Lonchura striata: one gene and its partners. The protein of the gene in region 4 interacts with the protein of the main gene of each other region in a biochemical or structural test. Links are inferred from orthologs where the notes say so. Each region holds a gene or a part of one and is shown on either strand. Other genes may lie near its edges.

Region 1 (7,963 bases), on a different chromosome or scaffold from region 4:
TCAGCTCCTGAATATTTCAGACTGGCCATCCGAGGTCAAGACTGGGTTTTACTGCAGCCAGGTGAGTAATTCCAGCCAGCTCATCCCATAGGTCAGATGAGAGAAAGCCTAAAATCATAGTCTCTCTGGATATGCCCCTTGGGCATGGAGAAAGGAGGGGGAATAGCAACTCCCACCCATGCCCAAGTCTCTGCTGTTATTGGTGACAAAGTGAAGTAGAAACTGCAGCAAGGGCTGTCCCCAGGCCACAGCCAGAGCTGTGTCACTGCCTGCAGGAACTCCAGCCAGGAGGCTCCCAGGGGGTGATGATTCGGGATTTACTGGTCAGCCTCACTTACACAACCTCATGGATGCTGCAGAACAAGGCTGCTCGTGCCCAGTCACCCTGCCTGGAGGCAGAAATGGTTTGAGTTAATGCTCAGGGCAGGGTTATGAAATCAGGCAGGCCTTCAGATTCCCAAAAGAAGTCTAGAAAAACATCAGCCTTGCTCATTCCAGAAGCTAAAGGCATTCAACAACAGAGAAATGCAGCCCTGCAGAGAAGCAGGTTTTTACCCTGGCCTGACATCCCCTCTCCCAGGGACAGAGGACAGCACATTCCAGCCAGGCAGCTGGTGCTGGAGGTGGTGTCTCGCTGTTACGTAAGGACAAAATGGCCACCCCAAAATTCCACCCCTTTTCTGCAAGCCTGGATGGAACCCAGGAGCCACCACCTGCTCCTGGCTAGCCGACACTCTCTCCAGCACTGAGCTGCAGATCCACAGGAGGAGAGACCCACAACGGAGATGCCCCTCCAGCTTTTTGGCAATGGGGAACAGGAAGATCAGGCTGGTCTGGCACTTTCCCCGTGTCACGGCTGGCTGTGCTGCGCCTTTGCCGAGCTGCCCTCCCTGGAAGGCTTAACTAAAAAAATAAGAGGAGGTGGCAAGCATCGGATGTTTGGTGACGAGAAAGACTTATCTCGAGGGTATTTGTAGGACACACCTACAGGCTTAACCTTGCAGAGGACAGGGAGCCTTTCAGCTTAGCAAAAAGCACCTGGCTGCCTTCAGGCAAGCTGTAAAAACCTGCTTTACAAGATAAAAGCAAGCTTGGGGGTTTTCTTTTCACATTTAACTAGGCAGAAGTGTAGACCACAGCGCTGCATCCCCACTCCAGGATGGAGATTGCTGCACGTGGCAGCGCCCCGGTACTGCAGCCCCATTTCCTACGTGCCATCCATCACCACCCGCTGCGGCTCCATCTTCCACCAGGAGAACGAGGGCCAGACCAGAGATAAAGGACGAGCACGTGTCCAGCCGGCCTGGGAAACGTCTTACTCCCATCAAATTAAATTATCAATTTGTTGGGTGGAAAGGGAATTAAGGCCGGCGGTGGATCACTCAGGCTAACAGCAATAAATGAAAGTTTTAGTAACAGGTTTAGATAGATAAAATAGTAGGTAATTTAAAAAAAAAAAAAAAAAAAAAAAAAAACACAAAAAACGCAGGCTGCTGCAGACTCTCCAAGCTCTTTATCTAGTGCAAGTGAAGTTTCTCAGACAAGTTTCACAGGCAGAAGTCCCTGGTTCAAGCACGTGGCTCGCAGCAGTGCTTCCGGCCTCGCACAAAAAACTTTTGCTTAATCCGGTGATGGGCTGGAAACCTGCTGGCACCAGTACGGACCATTAACCCATCGACCTCCTTTTATATTAGCCAGAATTCTTCTCTATAAACGGGATCTCGGGCATAAAATTACACTCTTCAGAGGGTTTGATTTTTTTTTTTTAATTAAGCACTTCTAATTGCACAAGTTCCTGGATGTGTCTGAGTAACCAAAAATTTGTCTCTGCACCTTCGAGCCAAGGCAACTAATGATGAGCAGCAGGAAAATTAACAATTTAACATGACAAAACCTTCATAAAACACTGATTTTTTTTGTTAACCTGTGCCTCTCCGATACCGAGTTGCCTTATCAGAACAAAAGCAGGTTTTTAGATACTGCCGCCTACTTTTAGTAGTCTGAGGAGACAGTCGGGAGGTTGCTATTGTCCGCCGACAAAAGCGCTATTCATGCCTTGGTAGCTCTGCAAAGGGGGTTTAAACACGTTTGGAAGGTTTTCACAGTTCAAGAAACTGCCCAAATCAGTTGGACGTGCTTAAGCGGGCACAACTACGGGAGAAGATTAATTCAGGAAGGGCCTTCTCTTCCCGGGGGGGGCCGGGAGCAGGCTGCAGCATCGCTGGCGGGTGCAGTGAGCCGGACGGTGATTTAAGCCGATGCCCTTCGGGGAACTGCCGGCTCTTACGTGAGAGCAGGCGGGGTGGGGGAGGCGGCCTAGCGCCTCACTCCGTCTGCCTCTGACTCAGCCTCCAGCGGCTCGCTGCCCGCGCCGGGCGGCAGCCGCAGCGGCGCCCTGCGCTCCGCTTAACGGCACGGCCGCCGGGCACACGCGGGGCTCCCCGCTCCCGCGTGCCCCGCCTCACTAGCACCCCAAACCGTACCCCCGCCGCCACCCCGCTCCCGGAACGGCCGATTCCCGCTGTGGGCCGTGGGGAGATGCTTTGGAGCCGGCGTTCCTCGGCGTGGGATCGGAAGGGATGCTCGGAGCGGGCGCTCCCCAATGCTGGGACGCGGAGGGATGCTCGGAAAGGGCGTTCCCCGGTGCGGGATCTCGGGGGATGCCCGAGGCAGAGGAGGGGACGCGGGGCCGGGGCTGCCGGCAGCCACGTGCACGACGCCGCGAGCCCCCTCCTCAACCCGTAGGGCGCGCGCCCCCTCCCCTCAGCCGCCGCCCGGGGGGACCCTCTCCCGGCGGCGGAAACACGGGAATAACGGCGGTACCGGCGCGGCCGGCCCCACCGCTCGCAGCCCCTCAGGTCGCCGTTACCTGCCGCCGCTCAGTCACGCCGCTAACGCGTCCTCTCTCCCCGAGCGCCGCCGCCGCTCTGCACGCTGCCCCCACGCCCCGCCAAGGTGATCCCGGCCGGCCGCAGCACCGCCCCCCTCGGATCCCTCCGCCGCCCGCCCTGCCGGGGGCCGCAAGGGCGGGGCGCCGGGGCTACTTTCAGGGGCGGACGCACAAAGCACGGGGGAGGCGCTGAGTCACAGCACGCGCTCGGCCGGCCAATGAGGAGGCGGCACAGCTGCCGCGCGCGCGGACGGAGAGTGGCCGTCGCCTTAAAGGGACCGCGGCCCGGCGCGGCGCTCTTAAAGGGACCGCGGCCCCCCTACTCACACTGACACCCCCAGCTCACACCTCAGGGGTCCCTCACTCTGGGGGGGACAGCGGCTCCGGGTGTTTTGGGGTGCTTTGGAGGGTCCCGAGACCTTCCAATGGGGACACTGGCGAGCAGTGTGGAATCTCTGCAGTGGGGCTATGAGGACACAGTACTGGGAACACTGGGGACACGAGGCTGGAGATGCTGGTGACATGGTGCTGATGCCTTAAACAGCTGGAACTGAGGCTAGATGGTGTTAGGAAGAATAGAGTGGGTTTCTATTGAAGTGCCTTCAAAGGCCACACCCTGGCAGATGGCTCCAACATGGAAGGAAAAGAAGGCTTGGTCACGAGATCTGACATTTTTATAAGTTTTAGTCTTTTTGCATATAGGATTTAACTTTCCAATTAATAGCTCCAAATTATGAAGTTTCATCCTCCTTGCTTGCTTGCCTGCTGTACTCATTTCATGTTGTTTATGCTCTGGGCCTGAAGTTTGAAGAGCTTGTCCTTGAGTCTCCACCTAGAGCAGGATTGTTTTGTCTTCAGCCACCCTGTGAAAAGATCCCAGTAACACTCGGTATAAAGCTAAAAGTTGCACGCCAACACAGAATGGAAGAGAAAAGCTTAAAACCTAAGTAATCAGTGCTGGGAGTGCTGAGGACACTGTGCTGGGGTCAAGAGAGATCAGGCTGGAGATGCTGGGGCCACAGGGGACACTGTCCCAGCTGTGTGGGAACACAACATGGACACTGAATGGCAAATCCATGAAGGCCTTTGCCTGGTTGTACTGGGGACCCCGTGCTGGAGGTATTGGGGACATGATCCCAGAACCATGGGGACCTTTTGCCTGTGACCCATGACAGTGGCTCCACACTGGCACCGTGGTGACACTGGGGACATGCCATTAACACAGGGACCTGTCCCACAGACCCTGTGCTGGACTGTAGGGACGCTCTGACAGCCATCTGGGGACCCCAAATGTATGCTGGGACCACAGAGGGGTTCTGTAGTGGGCACATTGGGAAGCCTGTGGTCCATGGAGGGGACCCAAAATAGTCACCCTGTGCTGGGGAGCTGGGAGCCCTGTACTGGGGACGTTGGGGACTCTGTACTGGGGACACTGGGGAAACTGGGCTGGGACATTGGGGAGTCTGTACTGGGGACATTGGGGACTCTGCACTGGGGACATGAGGGAAACTGGGCTGGGATATTGGGGACTCTGTACTGGGGATGCTGTGAACTCTGTACCGGGGACACTGGAGAAACTGGGCTGGGGACACTGGGGACTCTGTACTGGGGACATTGGGGACACTGGGCTGGGGACATTGGGGACTCTGTACTGGGGACACTGGGGACTCTGCACTGGGGACATTGGGGACTCTGTACTGGGGACGCTGTGAACTCTGTACCGGGGACACTGGAGAAACTGGGCTGGGGACACTGGGGACTCTGCACTGGGGACACTGGGGACACTGGGCTGGGGACATTGGGGACACTAGGCTGGGGACACTGGGGACTCTGTACTGGGGACACTGGGGAAACTGGGCTGGGGACATTGGGGACTCTGTACTGGGGACATTGGGGACTCTGTACAGGGGACATTGGGGACTCTGTACTGGGGACACTGGGGAAACTGGGCTGGGGACATTGGGGACTCTGTACTGGGGACATTGGGGACCCTGTACAGGGGACATTGGGGAAAGTGGGCTGGGGACATTGGAGACTCTGTACTGGGGACATTGGGGACTCTGTACTGGGGACATTGGGGAAAGTGGGCTGGGGACATTGGGGACTCTGTACTGGGGACATCGGGGACTCTGCACTGGGGACACTGGCTGGGCTGCGGGAACGCTGTGGCAGTCAGGGAGGGGACCCAAAATGGTCACCGTGCGCTGGGGACACGGGGTCTGTGTTGGACCGTGGGGTCACCGCGAGGGAGACCCGCCATGGCCACCCCACGTCCCCGTGCTGGCCGGGAACCCCCGGCACGGGGATCCGGGGCGCTGCGCCCGCAGCTCCGGCCCCGCCATGGCGCCGCGCCGCCCCGGGGGGGCCCGGCGGTGACGTCATGGCGGCGCCGCCGGTGACGCGCGCGGCGGCCGTGACGTCAGGCGCGGCCCTCCGGCAGCATGGCGGCCGTGCCCGCGGCGGCCGGCCCGCGCTGACATGGTGAGGGGCCGGGACGCGGGAGGGGACCCGGGCACACGGGGACACGGCCGCGGGGCAGCGCGCCCGCCAGCGGGGCGGGACGGGCCCGCGGGGCTCGGGGCAAGGGAGGGGCAGCGGCCCTCGGTGTTCCCCCGGGGTCCCCCGGCTCGGGGCGGGGATGGGGCCGCAGCAGGAGGAGGGAGCCCCGCGTCGCGATCGGCCGGGCATCCCCGGCAGCTCCATGCGCAGTCCCCGTCCTGGTCCTCCATCCTGGTCTTCCGTGCCGCTGTTCCCATCCTGGTCCTCCATCCTGCTGATCCTGCTTCCCAATCCTGCTGTCCCATCCTGCTCTCCCACACTGGTTCTCCATTCCTCTGTTCCCATCTTGCTCCCCCACACTGTTCTCATCCTGTTCCCCCATTCCAGTGTCACCATCCTGATGGTCCATCCTGCTGTCTCCATCTTGCTCCCCTCTAATCTGCTCCCTCCATCCTCCCTTTCCCAGCCTGCTCCTCCATCCCACTGTGCCCCAAATTATTCCTCCCATCCCACTGCCCACATTTCACATCCCCATCCTGCTGTCCCCAAACACTCCCCCCAACCCCTGTTGTTCTCCCCATATTACTGCTCCCCCCAAATCGTTCCCTCAATCCACTGCCCTCAGCCCTCTCCCCAGAACCAGCTCTGCTGCCCCCTAATTCCCTCCCTGTTAATGTGCTCCCCTAATCCACTTCCCAACCCTCTCCCCCATCCCTGCTGCCTCCCACCCCTCCATCCCCAGGACCTCAAGGGCCAGTACTGGACGGACGATGACTCCGACGGGGACAATGAATCCGAGGAGTTCCTCTATGGCGTGCAGGTGGGTGCTGGGTCCCCCTGGTGCCACGGGAGGCTCAGGAAGCCCCAGGCTGAGCCTGATGCCAGGCCTGGGGCTGCAGGAGGCTGTGGGAGGCTCTGGGTGTGACGGTGCTGTGCCGCAGGGGACCTGTGCCGCCGACCTGTACCGGCACCCGCAGCTGGACGCCGACATCGAGGCGGTGAAGGAGATCTACAGCGAGAATGCCGTGGCCGTCAGGTGGGTGCAGCTGCTGCCCCTGCACCGGGCAGTGCCAGGCCCAGGCACGTGGCCGGGCCGTGCCAGGATAGCTGCAGTATCCCCAGGCATCCAGCTGTGCTGTCCCTGGGCACCCAGCTGTGCCATGCCCAGGCATCCTGCCTTGCCATCTCTGGGACACTTGGCCGTGGTATTACCAGAACATCTGGTCGCAGCATCCCCGGGCATCTGGTTGTGCCATCTCTGGGGCATCTGATCATGGCATCCCCAGGGCACCTGGCTGAGCCATCCCTCAGGCATACCCTCCCCAGGGCACTGGCCACAGTATGCCCTGAGTGCTTGGCCTTACTATCCTTGGGCACCCAGACATGGCATTTATGGAGCATCCAGCTGTGGCAGCCCCAGGCACTCATCTGTGCCATCTTCAGACACCCAGCTGTGCCATCCCTGGGCACCCAGCTATGCTGTGTCCAGGGCTCTCCGCTGTGGCATCACTGGGTCACCTGGCCATGGCATTACCAGACATCCAGCAGTACCATCCCTGGGCTATCTGGCTGTGCCATCCTCAGACATCCAGCAGTGCCATCCCCAGCACACCTGGACATGCCATTCCCAGGCACTTGACGATGCCATCTTGCAGCACCCAGTAGTGGTAGCCCTGCCTAACCAGCTGTGCCATCCTTGGGGCACCTGATTATGGCGTTACCAAGGTTGACATCTGCATTCTGGGCAATCCCCCTGTGCTTACACTTGATACACAGGGAGCCACACGTGCCAGTGTCACTGTCCCATGATCCTACCCCGGCACAGTGGGCACTGGGCCACTGTTTCAGCACCGTGCCACCCCCCCGTGCCACAGCAACGCGTGTCTTCACAGGGAGTATGGGACCATCGACGACGTGGACATCGACCTCCATGTGAACATCAGCTTCCTCGATGTGAGAGCCTGGGGTGCCCCCAGCAGTGCTGGGGAGGGCATGGGAAGGGTGGGCACGTGCGCCCCAGGGGTCTCCAAATCCGCCTGCCTGGGTGGAGCTCCCGTGGCTGTGCCCAAGTGTGTCTCTGCCTTGGCAGGAGGAGGTGGCGACGGCCTGGAAGGTGCTGCGGACGGAGCCCATCGTCCTCCGCCTGCGCTTCTCCCTCTCCCAGTACCTCGATGGCCCCGGTGAGTGGGGACGGGCGGGATGTGTTGTCCCTGTCCCTCAGGACAGGCACAGTGGTGCACCGATGGCTCGTCCTCCTCTCTCCCCACAGAACCGTCCATCGAGGTTTTCCAGCCGTCCAACAAGGAGGGCTTCGGGCTGGGTCTGCAGCTGAAGAAGTAAGAGCTGAAACATGGTGGGCACACCAGGGTAGCGGGTGGGGTGGCTCACAGAGTCACTGTTCTGCCCCAAAACTGGTCACGTGCCACACGTCCCCTCTCCACCGCCTTCTATCCACCACACAATCCTGTGACGGGCGCACCACCGTGTGTGGGCTCGGGGTGTCAATGGACCACCAAGCACCCATGGGCGCTGTCCCCCCTGTTTGCCAGGATCCTGGGCATGTTCACATCCCAG
Region 2 (6,945 bases), on a different chromosome or scaffold from region 4:
ACAGGATGAGATTTGGGGACAGGACAGGATTTGAGAACAGGATGGAATTTGGGGACAGGATGGGATTTGGGGACAAGGGATTTGGGGACAGGGGATTTGGGGACAGGACGGAATTTGGGGACAGGACGGGATTTGGGGACAGGACAGGATTTGGAGACAAGGGATTTGGGGACAGGGAATTTGGGGACAGGACGGGATTTTGGGGACAGGATAAGGTTTGGGTACTGGATGAGATTTGGGTACAGGATGAGATTTGGGGACTATGACATTTTGGGACAGGATGAGGTTTGGGGACTGTGTGACATTTTGGGACAGGATGAGGTTTGGGGACTGTGTGACATTTTGGGACAGGATGAGATTTGGGTTCATCCCACTCCTGCACATTCCAGGCTGGAGCATCACCCCCAAACCTCCTGGAGCAGGGTGGGATTCGGGGGCAGGACAAGCTTTGGGGACAGGACGAGATTTGGGGATGGGGAGGTTTTGGGGACAGGACAAGATTTGAGGACAGGACGAGGTTTGAGGACAATATAAGTTTTCGGGCCATGGCAATGTTTGGGGACAGGAAGAGTTTTGGGGACAGGATGAAATTTGGAGACAATTGAGTTTTGGGGACAGGATGAGATTTGGGGACAGGATGAGATTTGGGGAGAGGATCTGGGGCCATGGCAATGTCCGGGGACAGGCCAAGGTGTGGGGAGAGTGTGAGATTTGAGGACGGGACAAGGATACGGGACCAGATGAGATTGGGGACAGGACAAGATTTGGGGACAGGATGAAGTTTGGGGACAAGATGAGACTTGGGGATGGGATGAGCTTTGGAGACAGGACAAGGTTTGGGGATGGGATGAGATTTGGGGACAGGACAAGATTTGGAGCCAGGACAAGATCTGGGGCCAGGACGAAGTTTTGGGACCAGAACAAGATTTGGGGCCCGTGTGAGATTTGAGGACAGGATGAGTTTTGGTACCAGGACAAGATCTGGAGCCAGGACAAGATCTGGGACCAGGATGAAGTTTGAGAACGGGACAAGATTTGGGGCCAGGACAAGATCTGGGGCTAGGACAAGATCTTAGACCAGGAAAGATCTGGGGCCAGGACATGGCTTTGGGATGGGACAAGATTTGGTACCAGGACAAGCTTTGGTACCAGGACGAGGTTTCAGGATGGGACAAGCTCTGGAGCCAGGACAAGCTTTGGTACCAGGACAAGATCTGGAGCCAGGACAAGATCTGGAGCCAGGATGAGGTTTTGGGATGGGACAAGCTTTGGGGCCAGGACAAGCTTTGGTACCAGGACAAGATTTGGGGCCAGGAAGAGATTTGGGGACAGGACAAGATTTGGGGCCATGATACAGTTTGAGGACGGGACAAGATCTGGGGCCAGGATGAGGTTTCGGGATGGGACAAGCTTTGGAGCTAGGACAAGCTTTGGTACCAGGACAAGATTTGGGGCCATGATACATTTTGAGGACGGGACAAGATCTGGGGCCAGGACAAGGTTTCGGGATGGGACAAGCTTTGGTACCAGGACAAGATCTGGGGCCAGGATGAGGTTTCGGGATGGGACAAGCTTTGGAGCTAGGACAAGCTTTGGTACCAGGACAAGATCTGGGGCCAGGACAAGGTTTCGGGATGGGACAAGCTTTGGTACCAGGACAAGATCTGGGGCCAGGACGAGGCTTTGGGATGGGACAAGATTTGGGGCCAGGACAAGCTTTGGTACCAGGACGAGGTTTCAGGATGGGACAAGCTTTGGGGCCAGGAGAAGTTTTGGTACCAGGACAAGATCTGGAGCCAGGACAAGATCTGGAGCCAGGACGAGGTTTTGGGATGGGACAAGCTTTGGAGCCAGGACAAGATCTGGGGCCAGGACGAGGTTTTGGGATGGGACAAGATTTGGTACCAGGACAAGATCTGGGGCTAGGACAAGATCTGGAGCCAGGACGAGGTTTCGGGATGGGACAAGCTTTGGAGCTAGGACAAGCTTTGGTACCAGGACAAGATCTGGGGCCAGGATGAGGTTTTGGGATGGGACAAGCTTTGGTACCAGGACAAGCTTTGGTACCAGGACAAGCTTTGAGGCCAGGACAAGATCTGGGGCCAGGAGGAGATTCGCGGTGTCGCCCGCAGCGGTGCCGAGGCGCTCCCACCTGCAGACGCGGCTCTCCTCGGGGTGGCTGTCGCTGGAGCAGAAGAGGCTGCAGGAGCCGCGCGTGTCCTCCAGGAACTGCCGCGCCGAGCCCGCCCGCAGCTCCTCCACCCTGCGCACCCTGTGCGCCTTCTTCTTGTGCCACCACTGGTGCTCCTCCAGGCAGCGCCCGCACAGGAACTCCTCGCACTCCTGGCACCAAACCAGCGCCGCCTCGGCGCGGCAGTGCCCGCAGCCCGGCCCGCCGGCGCTGCGGATCTGCCGCCAGAGCTGCAGGCGGCTCCGCAGGTTGCAGAAGAGCAGGTTGTCCACGGCGGGCACGGCCGCGGCCGCCCGGCAGCGCGGGCACTGCTTGGTGTCGCTCAGGCACGCCGGGCACAGCGTGTGCAGGCAGCGCAGCAGCCGCGGCTGAGGCGACTCCTGCCCGCAGCCGTCGCAGCGCAGGAATTGGAAATCGTCATCTTCTTCCTCCTCATCCTCGCCCTCGGCGGGGTGATGGGGAGGGGAGGCCGGTGCCGGGGTGCTCGAGGCCGGGCACGGCTCCGGCTGCTGCTCCGGTGCCGCTTGTGCCTCCGGTTCCGTCTCCATCTGCGGGGATGCGCCCCCGGGATGGAGCAGGTCGGGGGTCGGAGCTACAGATCCCGCTCGGGGCTCTGCTGTCCCGCCCCTCGCTCCCTCGCCACCCTCCCGAGCTCTCGATCTTCCCGGAATCTCGGGTTCCCGAGCGCCGGTGGAAGTGAAAGTAAAACGCTTTCCGTGCCGCCATGGCCACCGCCCCTTCCTGCCCCGACAGAGGGAAAAGCCGGGACACCCGGACCCCAAAACCTCCCTGGCTGAGACCCCAAAACCCCCTTGGCTGAGACCCCAGAATCTACCTGGCTGAGACCCCAAAACCTCCCCGGTAGCAACCCCAAAACCTCCCTGGCACCGACCCCAAAACCCCCTTGGCAGCAACCCCAAAACCTCCCTGGCTGAGACCCCAAAACCCCCTTGGCAGTGACCCCAAAACCCCCTTGGCAGCAACCCCAAAACCTCCCCGGTAGCAACCCCACAATCTACCTGGCACCGACCCCAAAACCCCCTTGGCTGAGACCCCAAAACCTCCCTGGCTGAGACCCCAAAACCCCCTTGGCTGAGACCCCAAAACCTCCCTGGCTGAGACCCCAAAACCTCCCTGGCTGAGACCCCAAAACCCCCTTGGCTGAGACCCCAAAACCTCCCTGGCTGAGACCCCAAAACCCCCTTGGCTGAGACCCCAAAATCTACCTGGCAGCGACCCCAAAACCCCCCCGGCAGTGACCCCAAAACCCCCTTGGCTGAGACCCCAAAATCTACCTGGCAGCGACCCCAAAACCCCCCCGGCAGTGACCCCAAAACCTTTGGCTGGGACCCCAAAACCCCCCCGGCAGTGACCCCAAAACCTTTGGCTGGGACCCCAAAACCCCCCCGGCAGTGACCCCAAAACCTTTGGCTGGGACCCCAAAACCCCCTTGGCTGAGCCCCCGAAGCCAAGGGAACCCCCTTCCCACCCCGCCCTAAAAACGCACCCGGCCCCTCTCCCCGGGCAGGGGCTCCGGTCTGTCCCCGGGACCCCCCAGGTCCCCCCCGGGTCCCCCCCCCGGGTCCCCGGTCTGGCCCGGGTCTGTCCCGGGTCTGTCCCGGGTCTGTCCCGGGTCTGTCCACGGGTCTGTCCCGGGTCTGTCCCCGGGTCCCTCCCGGTACCTGCGGGGCGCGGCGGGGACGGGAACGGCGGGAGGAGGAGCGGGGAGAGGGAGGGGAGAGGGAGGGGAGAGGGAGGGACAGGGAGGGGACAGGGAGGGACAGGGAGGGGACAGGGAGGGGAGAGGGAGGGGAGAGGGAGGGACAGGGAGGGGACAGGGAGGGGACAGGGAGGGGAGAGGGAGGGGAGAGGGAGGGACAGGGAGGGGACAGGGAGGGGACAGGGAGGGACAGGGAGGGGAGAGGGAGGGGAGAGGGAGGGGAGAGGGAGGGACAGGGAGGGACAGGGAGGGGAGAGGGAGGGGAGAGGGAGGGACAGGGAGGGGACAGGGAGGGGACAGGGAGGGAACAGGGAGGGAACAGGGAGGGGAGAGGGAGGGGAGAGGGAGGGACAGGGAGGGGACAGGGAGGGGAGAGGGAGGGGAGAGGGAGGGACAGGGAGGGACAGGGAGGGGACAGGGAGGGACAGGGAGGGACAGGGAGGGGACAGGGAGGGGACAGGGAGGGGAGAGGGAGGGCGGAGCTGTGAGGCGGTGCCCGGGAATGCGGGACCGGGAATTTGGGATCAGGATCTGGGACCGGGATGGGGATTTCAGATCGGGATGTGGGATCAGGATGGGGATGTAGGATTGGAATGGGGATTCTGGGACTGGGAAGGGGATTTGGGATCGGGATGGGAATTTGGGATTGAGGTGTTGCCTAGGGTTGGATCTGTGGGATCGGGATTTGGGATGCAGGGATGGGGAGCAGGATATGGGATCAGGATGGGCACTCTGGGACCGGGATGAGGATTTGGGACTGGGATGGAGCCTGGGAAAAGGATTTGGGATCAGGATGTGGGATTGGGATGGAGATGTAGGATTGCAATGGGGATTCTGGGACTGGGATGGGGATTTGGGATCGGGATGGGGATGTGGGATCGGGATGGGGATGTGGGATTGGGGTGGGGATTTGGGATTGGGGTGGGGACTGTGGGGCTGGGATGGGGATGTGGGATCGGGATGGGGATTTGGGATCGGGATGGGGATGTGGGATGGGGATCTGGGATTTGGGATGGGGATCTGGGATTGGGGTGGGGACTGTGGGGCTGGAAGGGGACCGTGGGGTCGGCTGTGGGGTCGGGAAGGGGATCCCGGCCCCGGGAAGGCGCCGCCGGAGCCGGGACGGGGACTTGGGGACAAACCCAGCGGGGCTGCCCTGCTCCCAAACCCCATCCCAAATCCCAGATCCCGCTCCCAAACCCCATCCCAAACCCCAGATCCCGCTCCCAAACCCCATCCCAAATCCCAGATCCCGCTCCCAAACCCCATCCCAAATCTCAGATCCCGATCCCAAACCCCATCCCAAATCCCAGATCCCGCTCCCAAACCCCATCCCAAATCCCAGATCCCGATCCCAAACCCCATCCCAAACCCCAGATCCCGCTCCCAAACCCCATCCCAAACCCCAGATCCCGATCCCAGATCCCGATCCCAAATCCCAAATCCCAATCCCAAACCCCAGATCCCGATCCCAGATCCCGATCCCAAAGCCCAAATCCTGATCCCAGATCCCGATCCAAATCCCCATCCCAGATCTCGATCCCAAATCCCAAATGCCAAATCCCCATCCCAAATTCCCATCCTAAATGCCGATCCCAAATCCCAAATCCCAATCCCAAATGCCAATCCAAATCCCCATCCCAGATCCCAATCCCAAATCCCTGTGGTCCCAAATGCCGATCCTGATCCCCGTCCCAAATCCCAGATCCAGATCCCAGATTCCAAATCCCAAATCCCAAACCCCAAATCCCAAATCCCCTTCCCAAATCCTGATCCCAAAATCCCAAATCCCGATCCCAAAATCCCCAATCCCGATCCCAAATCCCCATCCCAAATCCCAAATGCCAAATCCCCATCCCAAATTCCCATCCTAAATCCCGATCCCAAATCCCTATCCCAAATCCCAAACCCCAGATCCCAAATCCCAAATCGCGATCCCAAACCCCAGATCTCAACTCCCCATCCCAAATCCCGATCCCAGATCCCAGATCCCAAATCCCCATCCCAGATCCCCATCCCAAATCCCATATCCCAAACCCCAGATCCCGATCTGAAATCCCAAATCCCGATCCCAAATCCCTATCCCAAATCCCAAACCCCAGATCCCAAATCCCCATCCCAAAACCCCAAACCCCAAATCCCTATCCCAGATCCCAGATCCCCATCCCAGATCCCCATCCCAAACCCCGATCCCAGATCCCAAATCCCGATCCCAGATCCCAAACCCCAAATCCCGATCCCGTTCCCGATCCCGATCCCAAATCCCGATCCCGATCCCGATCCCAAATCCCGATCCCGATCCCGATCCCGATCCCGATCCCAGATCCCAAACCCCAAATCCCAAATCCCGATCCCGATCCCAAATCCCCATCCCAAATCCCGATCCCAAATCCCCATCCCAAATCCCGATCCCGATCCCGATCCCGATCCCAATCCCGATCCCAAATCCCTATCCCAAATCCCAAACCCCAGATCCCAAATCCCCATCCCAAATCCCCATCCCAAACCCTGATCCTGATCCCGATCCCGATCCCGATCCCAGATCCCAGATCCCAGATCCCAAATCCCGATCCCAAATCCCGTTCCCGTTCCCGATCCCAAATCCTGATCCCGATCCCAAATCCCGATCCCAAATCCCAAATCCCGATCCCAAATCCCCATCCCAAATCCCGATCCCAATCCCAAACCCCAAATCCCGATCCTGATCCCGATCCCGATCCCGATCCCGATCCCAGATCCCAAACCCCAAACCCCAAACCCCAAATCCCGATCCTGATCCCGATCCCGATCCCGATCCCAGATCCCAAACCCCAAACCCCAAATCCCAAATCCCGATCCCGATCCCAGATCCCAGATCCCAAATCCCGATCCCGATCCCGATCCCGATCCCGATCCCAGATCCCAGATCCCAAATCCCGATCCCGATCCCGATCCCGATCCCAGATCCCAAATCCCAAATCCCCATCCCAAATCCCGATCCCGATCCCGATCCCGATCCCAAATCCCGATCCCGATCCCGATCCCGAGGCCGCTC
Region 3 (7,616 bases), on a different chromosome or scaffold from region 4:
ACTTATTTTTCAAGAGACTTTCAGGCTCTCCATCACGTTACTGCTTGGTTCTGCAGGATTTGCTGAGAAGTTTCTGAACAGGCATCTTAATGAGGCAAGACAAGGCAAAGAGGCTGACTTTCCAACACCTGGCAGGCCTGCTGGCACAACAGAAACTACCCACATGGATGTAAAAAGCTCCTGGAGGTACAACAATGGTCCAAAGCTACATCTCCAGTGGGGTTTATTCCCTGGTGTAGGGCTAATTCAGATTTGAATATAGGTTGTAATGACTAAAAAATTAGAAAGTGCAAGAATGGTTTATAGAACAGATGAGATTAGATGCTTTTTGTTTTTAAACAGATATATTCAAAACAGTAAGAGACAGGTTTTTTAAAAATCTTTTTATCTGCACACCTAAAAAATGCTTGTAAAATGTCTTGCCTTGAATGATGCCCATAAGAGCTTATTAGAAGAAGAGCAGTAGATTAAAAAAAAAAAGGTACAGTACCTCTCTTATGGTTTTGCATGTTCCCTGAAGGAGAAAAAGGAAACAGGTTAGTAATAGAGGTAAATTAGTAGTGTAGTGACTACTTTGTTTCTCTGCATTATCCACTGAGGTTTTTAATTGCTGGTAGAAAATATTTGTTTTGATAATTTTAACTTGGGCTCAACAGAGGAATGGGACATTCTAATTGTACCTGTTTCAGTCATAGCAATCATTCTGTTTCTTCCACTCTTCAGATATTTTGGAGGAAATTTCTTACCTGAAGACAACTCTCAGGAACAGATTGTTTTGCCATTTCTTGCTAAGCAGATTTCAAGTGTTAAGAGGCAGACTTAAAAGCAAAAAAGGGAGTCACTAAGAACTATCATGAGTGTGTGCTCTCATTGTCATAGACAATTATTGAATTGTATGTGACTGCTTGGCACAACCTGTACTTTTTAAATGTACTTTGTACATTTTAACTTCTAAGTACCTTTGGATCTTCCCTGAAATTCCTAGATTTTGGATCCAGAAGCTGTTCTTTACTTTGTGGAAACTCTGATGCTGTCAAATTCCCCTTTCTATTCTCTACCTTTTTCTCTTGCTGTTAATATTTAGAGTTCCTAGATGAATAATTCCCTGAGAAATGTTCTTTCTGCCTGCAGACTATAAAATAAAAAGAGAACAAGGACTGGCAGCATCAGCTATTGCCATGTCGTATATACAAAGTCCATTTCTGATGGGAAACTCATTTAACTCTGGACCTTGTAGTTGAAGAGAAAGAGGTTGCCAGCTAACAGCAGCTGTAAGCAGCACAACCCCAGATAAAATAAACTGCTCACCTTTAGGCTGTTAGTGGCCCAGACACAACATCTCCCAGCTGGCACACTCCCACTGGGACCTATTGTCCTTGTATATGTCAAGTCTTGTGTGAGCACTGGAATGCTATTGCTGGCACTGGTGATAAGCACACTGGTCCCTGGGTACCTGCTGAAAACCAAGATAAAAGCTGGGAAAACAGCAAAAATCTCTCTCTGCTCTCAGTTCTCCACCAACGGCCTTGGCACAGGTGCCTGTAGTGTTTCTGTTTTTCATAAAAGCAGCTTTACCTGCTTCCTCTTCTGCTCTTTCACTCCATTTACACCTCCCCTGATAAGGGGAATTATGCTGGCTGATGTAGAATGGGTTTCAGCCAGATTTTGGCAGAACTCTTCCAATTTGATGGAAGTGCTTTCGGAGGATTCCAGATGAGCTTGCAAGTGCAGGAATCCTGACAAGATGGCAATGCCACTTTTCTGGCAGTTCTGACGGCCAGACAAATTGGCCATTGTTCTCTTTCTTCCCCATTTTTATTTGACTTCCCCTGCTACCCACAAAAGTTGGAAACAATGGTTTCCTTGGGCTTGAAAGCTCCTAGTTAAAAGCAGCTGTTTGCCTGTGAGTCTGTACTGCTCACAGACAGATAAATACTTCTAGTAGCAAAATCCTCAGTGCAGCTTAAAAACAAGTATTATAAGAAGGAAAAGAACCAATGTTGCAAATATATATCCTGAAAACCGTTAAACCACTCAAATTTGTAGGAATATCAGTCAGGCACTGCCTAGACATCAGTTTGTGTGCTGTTATGTCTATTGGAAGAATCAGGGCTTGAGTCTGCAAGATCTGTAGCAGTTCAAAAGTGCAATTTAATCAGTTTCAGAGAATTTGGGATGTTTTGGCTTGGAGAGTGTGGCACAGTGGAGGCCTGCAGAGCTCCTCACTCAGCTTCTTCCTCCTGTGGTGATGTCCATTGCTCTCTGGGATGGAATTGGCTCTGTGGGGCTCTCTAGCCAGGCTGCTCCTGGGGCTCATGATTATTACAGGTGTCACAGGGGACAGGGGAGCAGAGTTCCACTCTCAGTCTGGGCAAAAGTCATCTCTTCCACACAACTGTTCATAGTCCTGTCAGACTACAGCAAAAGAACAACGGGTGCAAGTTCAGAGCAGCAATTACACAGAGCCTGTGAACTCTTACGTAGCAGCTGTGCATTTTGTTACCTACGTATTTATTCACGACTTCCCTTTCTTAATTGCTTTCAGATTGCAAATAAACTTTGTTTCAAAAGCATTGTGTTACTATTGTTTCCTTATTTCTCTGTTCCTTTTTTCCTTTCCTCTCCTGTTTTCCCTTCAGAAATACTTTTTTCTCTGTACAATTCTTGAGTTGTACCATTTGATTTTGTCCCACTAATCTGGTCCAGTGATTAGTATTTAATTGGTTTAACTCAATTACAACAGAGCTTCTGAACTTCAGTTTGTCACTTGCTGTCACCAAATACCTGTGTCTGTAGACTCCAGAAATCATGAGTTATATTACATTGAGTTTGGGAGGGAAACTGCAACCTTTGACATTACAGGGGGAGGGATTTACTGAAAGCTTAGTCTTTGAACTTTTTTAAAGAAAAGGAAACTTCATTTATGACTGAAGAAAGCCACAGATAGTGGCTGGGCAGTTTTGAGTCACTTTATAAGAATTGCTTTGCATCTTCCTCTGTGAGCTCTGAATGGAGAAAGAGGTGGTGGAGATTGTATTTTTAAATAACCTCTTACATAATCTGATCTAAAATTCTAATGCTTCAGTTAGTACTTTGTATACAGAGCCTCTCATTTTAAAAAATTACTAATTTTAATGGGATGTTAGTGCAGTTCTAAATTATTGCACACCAAGTGTGTTTATACTGGACTTGATGTAGCCCTATCTCTGTCCCATTTTCATAGGTGATGTTGGCTACTTTCAGTTTTCTGAAACTTGTTTTCAGTTTTCTCCAAAATGCAAATCTCAAAACTTGTGTTCCTGTGGCTCATCACTGCTTGTCCTAAAACCAAGACAGCTCTCTGCAGAGAAATGGTATTTTCAGGCAGAAGAGGTTAAAGAATTTGGAGCTGCCAGAAGTGCAACAGGGGACACTGACATCCCTGTGAGTCCGAGGAATGTGTCTAGGAATGTGCCAGGGGCAGCACATGAGGACTGCCTGCCGGGCGAGGAGGGTGAGCTCTGCGGAGGCGGAGGGGCTGTGCCGAGCGTCCCGGCGCGCTCAGCTGCGAGGCGAACGCGTCCTGGCGCTCCTGCGGTCCCGGGAGCGCTCTGCGTGCCTGGGGCTCAGCGGGCGGACCCAGCTCGGTGTTTGGGCTCTCGGGGCTCCCGTGCCTGGAAAAAAAACTGTTTTTTCATGGGCTCTGCTACCCAAGGGGCTCGTTTTAAGGTGATTTGGTTCAGAAGAGAGGGACGGGTTGATCTGTTGGGGGTAATCAGACAGAAGACGAAACCACGAGGCAAAGTGGTGGCACCTGTAGGGAGACACGCCTGATGCGCAGCACCCACCGTGCATGGGCTTGGCTGTGCTGGGACTGAGTCCGTCTGCAGCGTCCTACGGGAGTGAACGGCACGGGCACGGGCACGGGCAGCGCGCCGGCCGCAGCCCTTTAAACCACGTGCGTCCCGTTATTGGGAATGCAGGAACCGTCTGGCCGCGCTTAGAAAAGGAAACACGGTCTTTAACTGGCGCACAAGGTGCTGTTATTATTATTGTTGTTATCATATATTAAATACTGTATTATCATTATGGACATTTTTCCAGTTCCAGCAACTCTACGGGAGCAAGAGCACGTTGCAGGGGAGCGGGAGCGGCAGTCCCGCAGGGCGGCGCGGCGTCCCCAGGCTCGCCGGGCGCTGCCCCCGGAGCTGCCCGGGCGGGGCAGGGCGCTGTCCCCGCGGTGATCCCGGCGCTCCCCGAACGCCGTCTCCAGGCGGTTCCCGCTGCCCGGGCGGGGCCGCCCCGGGGCTAAAATGGCGCCGGGCGCGCACCTCACGGGCGGACACGTCCGCGCGGCCGCCTCGGGGCGGGGCCCCGCCCCGGCCCGGCCCCCCCGCTCGCGCCAAAGCGGCTCGTGACGCGGCCGCGCGCGGCCCCGCCTCCGCGCGCCGTGTTTTCAAACCTGGTGGGCGGGCGCGATTGGCCGGCGTGCGCCGCACGTGACCAACGGTCGCGGGAAAGCCGCGGAGTCCGAACGGCGCGCGGCGGGACCGTTCCTGGGCAGCGCGAGCCGAACCGGCACCGCACGCGGGCGGAGCGCGGGCAGCGCAGCGGGAGCGGCGCGGGCGGAGCGGCCGCCATGAGCTTCCTCAGCCTGCAGCGGGCGGCGCCGCCGCGGCGCGTCTCGGCCCGGCGGGCGGCGGCCCCGATCCGGCAGAAGCTGCTGTTCCTGAGCGGCCACAGCGACTGCGAGGAGGAGGAGGAAGAGGAGGAGGAGGAAGGCTGCGGCAGCGGCAGCGCCAACAGCACCGGCGAGGACTCGGCGTTCCAGGAGGCGGACTCGCCGCTCTCGGCCGCGCGCACCCCGGCGCGGAGCGACCCGCCCCTGCTGGAGGAGGAGGAGGAGATGGAGCCGGCGGCGGCGCCGCTGCCGGACGAGGGGGACTCGTGGGAAGAGGAAGGCTTCGGCTCCTCGCCGGTCAAGTCGCCCGGAGCCTATTTCCTGCTCGACTCGCCCTCTCCGCTGGCCCCGCACAAGGGCCGGCGCTGCTGCGAGCGCTCCCCGCCGCACTCGGCGGCCGGCGGGTACCGGGGGGCGCGGGGCGAGGAGCCCGGCTCGCCGCTGCCCGACTACCCGGGCACGCCGCCGCACAAGACCCTGCGCAAGCTGCGGCTGTTCGACACGCCGCACACGCCCAAGGTGAGCCGGGCGGGGTCGGGTCGGGCCGTTCGGTAACGGCGGCGCCGCTCGGGACCGCGCCGGGGCTCCGGCCGGGGCGGGGTCCGGCGGCGCCGCCTCCCGACGGGACACGGGGCGAGCCGCTTGCTTAGGTGGTAGTCATATAGAAACTAAAAAGTTTTCCGAGTTGGGCAGTGTTTTGTGGAAAGCGTGTTTGAAAAGTGTGAGCGTAGAGTATTAAAACTCCTAGAGTAAGTGCTGGAGTGTGGAGTGGGCGTTGGTAGGGGTGTAGCCAGAAAGTTAAAGCTCGGCTTGGGGTGTGATCCTGCGGTGAGCTGGCATTTCCTAGAAGGAATTTCTTCACAGGAAAGGTGATTTGTCATCGGAATGGATGATGGAATCACCTGGGAGGTGGTGGAGTCACCGTCCCTGGAGGTGTTTAAGGAGAGGCTGGAGCTGGCACTCGGTGCCGTGCGCTGGCGAACACGGCGGTGCTGGGTCGTGAGCTGTGCCCGATGATCTCAGAGGCTTCTCCAGCCTGGCGGGCTCTGCTGTGATCCTGCCGTGTGCCAGCGCTGCTTCAGCGGCCGCGCTCCTGCATCAAACGCGAAACGCTCTTTGAGCAGTCGATGCTGATGGAGTCCAAAGTTTAGATGGACAGATGGGTAGCTCTTAACTCTGTCAATAACAGACTTTTGGAACGCATTTCAGCTTTTGAACTCGATGCTGTGTAAAATCGCGTATAGTGAATTTAAATCTAGTCATAATTGACTTCCTTTCTTCATTACTTTTTGTATAGCCCTTTAGAAGTAATCCTGGGATAATCCCCGGGGATAATCTCCCGGGGTGTATAGACTATAGATGGAAAACAACTGATTTAAGGTGCGAGGAAGGCTTCCTTCTTAATTGGTTTTCTACAGCTTCCATCTCCAGTGAGGTTTCACTGGTAAAAATCAGTGGTACATGTTTGTAAAAGGTAAAATTGGTCATGAGTTTACACCTTGTCAGGGGCAGACGCTTCAGAGTTGACAAAGTTTTGTGATACTAAAAACAAGTTCTTAACACAAGAGTTCAGTGGGATTCTTAATTTAGGGGGCCGAATTCTACATAGATGATCTTTGGAAGGCTCAGTTGTTTCAGACGAGATTCCCATATACTGAGTGTTCTTCCCTGTGGTGGTTTAGGCTTCAGTCCTGTCAGATCTTTATTTTGTTCTTAGGATAAGGTGCTCCTTCTGGTTGTGATCCAGTCGTTGCCATCCTCACCAGGATGAAGGAGACTCAGGTGCAGACTTTTCAGTGTAACTGGGAGAGGTTTTGTTATGTGCCTGGAAGATGCAAATCACCACCCAGAAGATCAATTTTGGATATTTAAATGACAGTGCAGCCATGCTGCTAATTCTTGGACCGTTTTTTGTAGGCTCAGGAAATATTAAATGTTGTATTTGCTATTTTTTTTGAAGATTGTCACCTAAATTTGTAGAAACCAAAGATCGTTCCATGTCTGATCTAGCTTCCAGATCCTGCATGGGCAAATCATGGTGGTACAGTACAGGATTGTCCTTGAATTTTATCTGTGCTCATTTAATGGACAAATATTTGTCCAGGAAGTTTAGGTGATGAAATTATTAAAGAAAGAAAAAGATTACTCTCATCATCATCTTTTATCTTTGAAAAATAATTTTAATATTTGTTTGCTTGAACTGTTTCTGTGTAGTGTACAAAGCATAGTAGTTTCTTAGAAATTATTTTTTATGGAAATGCAGGTATTTAAACAACAGATGCTGACTTTAATTAGATAATACTGTAATGATGGCTTCAGGCACAACCTGACTGTTTGATGTCTAAGGTAATATCACGGCTGTAAGTGACTTTAAATGTTTTGGTTTTGTTTCTTTTTTTTTTTAAATACAGAGCTTGCTTTCTAAAGCACAAGGCTTAGGCTCCAGCTCAGTCAAACTTCGAGGGGGCTCGCTGTTTATGAATGTTGGGAAAGCAGAGAAGCAGGAAGATTTTAGACAAACACCTCATGTGAACATCAATCCCTTCACTCCCGATTCCATGTTCCTTCACAACTCTGAAGGCAAATGTCGTAGGAGGAAGAGAATACACTGGAATGAGTGAGTGACTTGTACCTTCCTTTGTTAAACTTGTATTTTAGAACTACTTTTGGCTGCAAAAATTTTGTTACAAATTGCTTCTAAGAAAGTATTTTTGCTTGCAGGTTGTTAGTAATGTATAATACAGCTCTTAAAGTATGTGCTTCAAGAGGCATGATATAATCATTTAGCACTAGATCTTTTGATTACTGCACAGAGAGGATAGACTGGGCTGTGTGCTGGTCTTTTTTCCCCTCATGGAATGGGCCATAGAGTCTTTTCTTCAGAAGGAAAAAAAAAAATGTGTTAAATACAAGTGTGAAACATGGAGAAAGAAAGGACAAATATATTAGCATGGCA
Region 4 (7,608 bases):
CCTGAAATGGCTGATTTTAGGGATAAATCCCCTGGAATTGGATGGATTCTGTGAATTTTTGGGGAAACAACCCCTGAAATGGCTGATTTTAGGGATAAATCCCCTGGAATTGCATGATTTGGAGATTTTTTTGGGGGGGAGAAAAAGTCCTGAAATTGGTGGATTTGGGGTTTTTTGGGGGTGAATTCCCTGGATTTGAGGGTTTTTTTTGAGGGGGGATAAATGTCTTGGAATTCCTTGGATTTGGGTCTTTTTTTGGAGAGTAAATCCTCTGGATTTGGGGGGGTTTGGGGATGATTCCCCTGGAATTGATGGATTTGGGGATTTTTTGGGATGAATCCCTCACCTCTCCCGAACGCTCCCAGGTCTCCTCCAGCCTTGGCCGAGCTGCAGTCGCTGAACTGCGAAGCCAAAGACTCAAAATCCTCCTCTCCCGATTTGATTTTCTGGATGTAACCTGGAAGAAAAACGGGAAAACCCCAAATTTAGGGATCAAAACCACTCCCAAAATTCCCTGGGTGCCGCAGATTCCATGGGAAATGAGACAATCCCAAAATATCCTCAAATCTACCCCAAAACCAACATTCCTGGTTTTTTTTTCCCGAAAAGTCATCACTCACTCCCACTTTTTTTTCCCCCCCAAATTCACTATTCCCAGTTTTTTTTTCCCCAAAAATCGGTCATTTCAGGGAGCTTTTTTTTTCCCCCAAAAAAAAGGGAAAATTGGAGAAAAGAACCATCCAGGGAAGGAATTCTAGGATGAGTTTTGGGAAATGGTGGAATTTTAGGGCTGACTTCTGGGAAAAGGTGGAATTTGGGGTGGAATCCGGGGAGATCCCAAATCCTTTGGAATTCCTGGGATTCATTCCCAGAGTTTCTATTTGCCATTGGCGAGCTTTTATAAAGAATGTCCAGCTCCTGAGCTCATTAATGAAGCCCAGTATCCCCAGTATGCCCAGTATCCCATCACTCCCAGTATTCCCAGTACCCTGAGTATCCCATCATTCCCAGTATCCCCAGTATCCCATCACTCCCAGTATTCCCAGTACCCTGAGTATCCCATCATTCCCAGTATCCCCAGTATCCCATCACTCCCAGTACCCCAAGTATCCCAGTATCACCAGTATCCCATCAGCCCATCACCCCCAGTATCCCCCCAGTATATCCCAGTATCCCCCCAGTATCACTCCCAGTTTATCCCAGTATCACTCCCAGTTTATCCCAGTATCATTCCCAGTTTATCCCAGTACCATTCCCAGTTTATCCCTGACCATTGACGAGCTCCAGCGCCTCCTCCTTGGAGCGGGTGATGCGCTCCTGCCTCCAGCTGAGTCTCCCCAGTAACCCCCCAGTATTACTCCCAGTTTATCCCAGTATCCCCCCAGTATCACTCCCAGTTTATCCCAGTATCACTCCCAGTTTATCCCAGTATCATTCCCAGTTTATCCCAGTATCCCCCCCAGTTTATCCCAGTTTATCCCTGACCATTGACGAGCTCCAGCGCCTCCTCCTTGGAGCGGGTGATGCGCTCCTGCCTCCAGCTGAGTCTCCCCAGTAACCCCCCAGTATCACTCCCAGTTTATCCCAGTATCCCCCCAGTATCACTCCCAGTTTATCCCAGTACCACTCCCAGTTTATCCCAGTTTATCCCTGACCATTGACGAGCTCCAGCGCCTCCTCCTTGGAGCGGGTGATGCGCTCCTGCCTCCAGCTGGACGGGCGCCGGGACTGGTTGTGCTTCACCAGGAGGTGCGAGCAGCGCACCCGGCCCGGCTCCGCCCGGCCCGCGCCGCTCGGCCGCTCCCATTGGCTGGCGTTCGTCAGGTGGTTGAAGTAGTACACCCTGCCTGGGGGGTATTGATCCGCTATTGGTTATTGATTACTGATTGGTTACCGATCGGTATCAAAAAATTGGTTATTGGTACCAAAACCTCCTCACAGGCCCCAGTATTGACCCCACTGGCTGGCGTTCACCAGGTGGTTGAAGTAGTACACGTGTCCTGCAGGGTTACTAATCGGTTATCAATCAATATTGGTCGGCTATTGGTTATTGATCACTGATCATTTATTGATTTGCACTGATAAATCAGCTTATTGACATCAATTCCCACCTCAATGACCCCACTGGCTGATCTTTGCCTGGTGGTTGAAGCAGTACCCCCTCCCTGGGGAGCTATTGATCAAATATCAGTTATTGATTAATTATAGGTTATTGATCAGTGATTGCTTACTGATTGCTGCTGAAAATTGAGGTGATTAAACCCAAAATGCAGGTTAAGGACCCTAAAAATCCATTGAGCCCCCCCAAATTCCCTTCATGAGGGGGATCTCCCTAAAATTCCCCTCACCAGGGGGATCCCACCCAAATTCCCCTCATGAGGGAGATTCCCCCCCAAATTCCCCTCAGGAGGGAGATTCCCCCCCCCAAATTCCCCTCACGAGGGGAATCCTCCCCAAATTCCCCTCAGGAAGAGGATCCCCCCCAAATTCCCCTCAGGAAGGGGAACCCCCCTAATTCCCTTTGACGCCCCCCCAAATTCCCCTCACCAGGGGGATCCCCCCCCAAATTCCCCTCAGGAGGGAGATCCTCCCCCCCAAATTCCCCTCATGAGCGGGACCCCCCAAATTCCCCTCACGGAATTGCCCCCCCTCTTCCCTGAGACGAACCCCCCCCCCTCAGAACCCCCCTAAATTGGCGACCCCCCCAAATTCCCCTCACGACATTGACCCCCCCTCCCTGAAGCGATGCCCCCTCACGACCCTCCCTCAATTCGCCGCCCCCTCCTCAAATCCCCCTCACGCACCCCCCCCACCACGCCCCCTCACCCCCTCCAAAACCCAACCCCGCCGCCCCCACCGCCCTTTCCCACCTCCCCCATGGCCGCAGCTCCTTCCCCGCGCTTCCCCCCAGCCCTCAGGCCCTCACCGGAGCTGCGGCTCATTCGCTTCTCCCACCCCGCGGGCAGCTTCTCCTCCTCCGCCATCTTCCCTTCCCTCTGCCCGCCCTGCGCGGCCCGCCCACACCGCCACGCGGAGGGGCGGGCAAACCAGCGCTTCTCGCGTTCCTATTGGTCGGCAGAGACGATGCGCCCCTCAGGGCATCATCTTATTGGCGGAGCCGCCTGTCAATCAAGCGCGCGGTGAAGCCGAGACGCGCGCGGGAAAGGCGGGATGGTGGCCGTGCGTGGCTAAATTTAACCGGAACGCAAAGACGCAGCGCTGCCTCTACTGTGCCCGGTTAGAGCGTCCCGGTCCCACCGGAGCAAAGAAATCAACCGGAGCCTCCAAAAGCAGCTTTATTATCGACAAACCCAACGCTACAGAACGCGCGCGGCCGGTTTAAAGCCTCTACGTGGCGCCGGTTTGGTCACACGGGGGATGGGAGGGGGAGAACGGAGGATGGCGGAGGAGAACGGGGAACACCGGGAGAACCGGGGGGACACCGAGAGGCAGCCTCTCGTGGTCGTTCATCCCCATCGCGGAGCTCATCCGCAGCGGGGATTAACGGCAACGGGGCCGCCGCTGTGGCGGGCCCGGAAGTGACGTCACGGGCACGCCGGCGCGTTGCCTGGCAACGGCGTTTGTTGTTAGCAACGGCCAAGATGGCGGCAGCGGCCCGGGCCCCCTCGCGGGTGGGTACTGGGGGTTACTGGGAGGGACTGGGGGGGATCTTTGCCTTCCGTGGGGGGGCTCTGAGGGGTGGCTGGGGACAACGAGGATTGGGAGGGGACAAATGGCGCCCGAAGGCGCCGCAGCCTCGCCTCTTTCCCGCTTTTTCCTCGCCTTCCCCCCCCCCCCATTTCTTTCCCTTTCTTCCCCCCTTGCCCTTTTTTCCCGCCTTTTCCACACCTTTCTTTCCCTCATCCCCGCTTGCCCCTTTTTCCGCCCTTTTTTCCCCGCCTTTCTCCCCCTTGCCTTTTTTCCCGCCTTTTTTTTCCCGCCTTTTCTACCCCTTTCTTCCCCTCATCTCCCCCTTGAGCTTTTTTCCCCGCCCTTTTTTTTCCCGCCCTTTAAGTCTCCCCTCAGGGACCCGGCGCCGAGGGAAACTGGGAATGGGTCCACAGCACCGACTACAAATCCTCCTTCACGTGAGCTCCCAAAATCCCCAAATTCCGGCCAAAATCCCGGAATTCCGGCCAAAATCCCCAAATTCCGGCCAAAATCCCGGAATTCCGGCCAAAATCCCAAAACTCCACCCCAAAATCTCCAAATTCCAGCCAAAATCCCAAAAATCCACCCCGAAATCCTGAAATTCCACCCCAAAATCCCAGAATTCCGGCCAAAATCCCGAAAATCCACCCCGAAATCCTGAAATTCCACCCCAAAATCCCCAAATTCCACCCCAAAATCTCCAAATTCCACCCCAAAATCCCAAAATTCCACCCCAAAATCCCGAAAATCCACCCCAAAATCCCAAAATTCCACCCCAAAATCCCCAAATTCCGGCCAAAATCCCAAAATTCCACCCCAAAATCCCTGAATTCCGGCCAAAATCCCAAAATTCCACCCCAAAATCCCCAAATTCCAGCCAAAATCCCGAAAATCCACCTCAAAATCCCGAAAATCCACCCCAAAATTCCACCCCAAAATCCCCAAATTCCACCCCAAAATCCCCGAATTCCGGCCAAAATCCCGAAAATCCACCCCAAAATCCCAAAATTCCACCCCAAAATCCCCAAATTCCGGCCAAAATCCTGAAAATCCACCCCAAAATCCCAAAATTCCGGCCAAAATCCCAAAATTCCACCACAAAATCCCCAAATTCCGGCCAAAATCCTGAAAATCCACCCCAAAACCCCAAAATTCCACCCCAAAATCCCAGAATTCCGGCCAAAATCCCGAAAATCCACCCCAAAATCCTGAAATTCCACCCCAAAATCCCCAAATTCCACCCCAAAATCTCCAAATTCCAGCCAAAATCCCGAAAATCCACCTCAAAATCCCCAAATTCCACCCCAAAATCCCAGAATTCCACTCCAAAATCTGGGATTCCACCCCAAAATCCCAAGATTCTGTCCCAAAATCAGAATTTTGGGAAAAAGAAATTGTAATTTTGGGAAATTTTTGTAACATTCCCCCCTAAAAATCAGAATTTTGGGCGATTTCCCTCCCCAAATCTCGGGATTTTTGCAAAATTCCCCCTAAGAATCGGAATTTTGGGGGAAAAAATCGGAATTTTGGGGGAAAAAATCAGAATTTTGTGGGGAAAAAAATTGGAATTTTAGGGGGAAAAAATCAGAATTTTGTGGGAAAAAGTCGGAATTTTGGGGGGTAAAAGTCGGATTTTTGGGGTAAAAAAAAATCGGAATTTTGGGCAATTTCACCCCCCAAAGCTCGGGGTTTTTCCTGCATCCCTCCCTAAAAGTGTGAATTTTCCGTGGGAGTTTTTTCCCGTCCCGAATGCCAATTTTTTCCCCCCAAAATTCCAATTCCCCGAGCCCACAGAAACACAAATCCCCCCGAAAATCCCCAAAATCCCACATCCCCCACCTCCCTGCGGCCCCGCGCCAAATTCCCAAAAAAACCGGGAATTTCCCAGCGGAATAAACGGAATTTCCTGCTTCGGTTTGGCCAAATTTCAGATTTCTTTTTCTTTTTTTTCCCCAGATTTTTCCCAGGTTTTCAGGTAAAAATTCCCAATTTTTTTCTGGTTCTAAGAGGAAATTGGAGATTAAGAAATTTGGGGATTTTGTGATCCTGTTCCCCAATTTTCCCCCACCCTGCGTGAAATTCCCAAAAAAATGGGAATTTTTTTAGCAGAATAAACGGAATTTCCTGCTTCGGTTTGGCAGAATTTGCATTTTTTTTCCTGGATTTTTCCCAGATTTTCAGATAAAAATTCCCAATTTTCAATTTTTTTAAAAATTAATTTTAATTTTTAAAATTAATTTAAATTTTTTTCCCCCGGATTTTTCCCAGATTTTTGTGTGGTTTTAGGGTAAAAATCCTCAATTTTTTTGTGGTTTTAAGGGAAAATATTCAGAAAGTTGGGAATTTTTTAGCCTCGTTCCCAATTTTCCCCCACCCCACTGTGAAATTCCCAAAAAAACCAGGAATCTTTTAGTGGAATAAACAGAATTTCCTGCTTCAGTTTGGTCAAATTTGGGATTTTCTGCATTTTTTTCCAGGATTTTTCCCAGATTTTCAGGTAAAAATTCCCAATTTCCTGTGCTGATTATTGGGAATTTTTTGGGGAAATATCTCTTTTTCTTGGCTTCTTTTTTTTTAAATAAAATTAGGGAATAAAAAGTGGGGGGGAGGGGGCGAAGAGGAAAAAGTTGGGAATGAAAAGTGGGAAAAAAGGAGGAAAAATGGGAAAGAAAAGAGGAAAAAAAAAGGAAAAATGGGAATGAAAAGAGGAAAAAAATGGGAAAGAAAAGAGGAAAAAAAGGGGAAAAAATGGGAATGAAAAGAAGTAAAATCAGAATTTTTGGTCCCATCCTGAAAATTCCTGGGATTTTTATTTCTTCGATTTTTGGGATAAAAGCTCAGGCATCCGCAGGGAATTGGGGCTCCTTTTCCAGAGGGGAAATTCCCAAAATTTGGGAGGAGATTCCGGAAGCTTCTGAGGCTTTCCCGGCGTTCCCAGAGGGGTTTTCAATTCCTGGGATTTTCTGGGGAGAGAAAAAAAAGGGAAAAAAACCCAAAATTCATATTTTGGTCCCAAAATTCCATCCCAAATTTCCTCTTTTTCACTGAGGGAATAAAAAAAGCGGCACCGGGGGGGATTTGAGGGAATTCAGATAATGAAATCCCAAATTTCCAGCGTTTCCTGAGGGATAAAATCCCATTTTTATCCTAAAATTTTGGCTTCAAATTCCCTTTTTGGGGTTCCATCCTCACCGGTGGCCGTGTCCCTGGCTAAAATCCCGGTTTTTTCCCGGGATTCTCACCGGTGTCCCTGACTAAAATCCCGGTTTTTTCCCGGGATTCTCACCGGTGTCCCCGGCTGATATCCCGGTTTTTCCCGGGATTCTCACCGGTGTCCCCGGCTGAAATCCCGGTTTTATCCCGGGATTCTCACCGGTGTCCCTGGCTGAAATCCCATTTTTATCCCGGAATTCCTCACCGGTGTCCCCGGCTGATATCCCGGTTTTTTCCCGGGATTCTCACCGGTGTCCCCGGCTGATATCCCGGTTTTTTCCCGGGATTCTCACCGGTGTCCCCGGCTAATATCCCGGGATTCTCACCGGTATCCCCGGCTGATATCCCGGTTTTTTCCCGGGATTCTCACCGGTGTCCCCGGCTGATATCCCGGGATTCTCACCGGTGTCCCCGGCTGATATCCCGGTTTTTCCCGGGATTCTCACCGGTGTCCCCGGCTAATATCCCGGGATTCTCACCGGTGTCCCCGGCTGATATCCCGGTTTTTCCCGGGATTCTCACCGGTGTCCCCGGCTGAAATCCCGGTTTTATCCCGGGATTCTCACCGGTGTCCCCGGCTGATATCCCGGTTTTATCCCGGGATTCTCACCGGTGTCCCCGGCTGATATCCCGGTTTTTCCCGGGATTCTCACCGGTGTCCCCGGCTGAAATCCCGGTTTTATCCCGGGATTCTCACCGGTGTCCCCGGCTGATATCCCGGTTTTATCCCGGGATTCTCACCGG

The links.
Region 1: the proteins of PIN1 (region 4) and PKM form a complex in vitro, tested with the Homo sapiens proteins (2 studies listed by BioGRID, with this or other methods). The link is inferred for Lonchura striata from reciprocal best matches to the Homo sapiens genes PIN1 and PKM.
Region 2: the proteins of PIN1 (region 4) and PML form a complex in vitro, tested with the Homo sapiens proteins (2 studies listed by BioGRID and IntAct). The link is inferred for Lonchura striata from reciprocal best matches to the Homo sapiens genes PIN1 and PML.
Region 3: the proteins of PIN1 (region 4) and WEE1 form a complex in vitro, tested with the Homo sapiens proteins (2 studies listed by BioGRID, with this or other methods). The link is inferred for Lonchura striata from reciprocal best matches to the Homo sapiens genes PIN1 and WEE1.

The regions. Positions count from the first base shown.
Region 1 is NC_134613.1:7,004,092-7,012,054, reverse strand, and holds the start of PKM (pyruvate kinase PKM), read right to left. Parts: upstream 3,003-7,963; 5' UTR 2,870-3,002; intron 1-2,869. Other genes in the region: protein mono-ADP-ribosyltransferase PARP6, read left to right, coding at 6,063-6,209, 6,331-6,425, 7,282-7,342, 7,479-7,569, 7,659-7,725, 7,939-7,963. UniProt on the Homo sapiens protein: Catalyzes the final rate-limiting step of glycolysis by mediating the transfer of a phosphoryl group from phosphoenolpyruvate (PEP) to ADP, generating ATP.
Region 2 is NC_134613.1:6,278,857-6,285,801, forward strand, and holds the start of PML (protein PML), read right to left. Parts: upstream 3,005-6,945; 5' UTR 2,740-3,004; coding exon 2,153-2,739; intron 1-2,152.
Region 3 is NC_134608.1:51,622,147-51,629,762, forward strand, and holds the start of WEE1 (wee1-like protein kinase), read left to right. Parts: upstream 1-4,606; 5' UTR 4,607-4,618; coding exon 4,619-5,179; intron 5,180-7,071; coding exon 7,072-7,277; intron 7,278-7,616. UniProt on the Homo sapiens protein: Acts as a negative regulator of entry into mitosis (G2 to M transition) by protecting the nucleus from cytoplasmically activated cyclin B1-complexed CDK1 before the onset of mitosis by mediating phosphorylation of CDK1 on 'Tyr-15'.
Region 4 is NC_134623.1:1,532,947-1,540,554, reverse strand, and holds the start of PIN1 (peptidyl-prolyl cis-trans isomerase NIMA-interacting 1), read right to left. Parts: upstream 3,013-7,608; 5' UTR 2,985-3,012; coding exon 2,927-2,984; intron 1,848-2,926; coding exon 1,656-1,847; intron 458-1,655; coding exon 347-457; intron 1-346. Other genes in the region: CHCHD5 (coiled-coil-helix-coiled-coil-helix domain-containing protein 5), read right to left, coding at 6,489-6,614. UniProt on the Homo sapiens protein: Peptidyl-prolyl cis/trans isomerase (PPIase) that binds to and isomerizes specific phosphorylated Ser/Thr-Pro (pSer/Thr-Pro) motifs.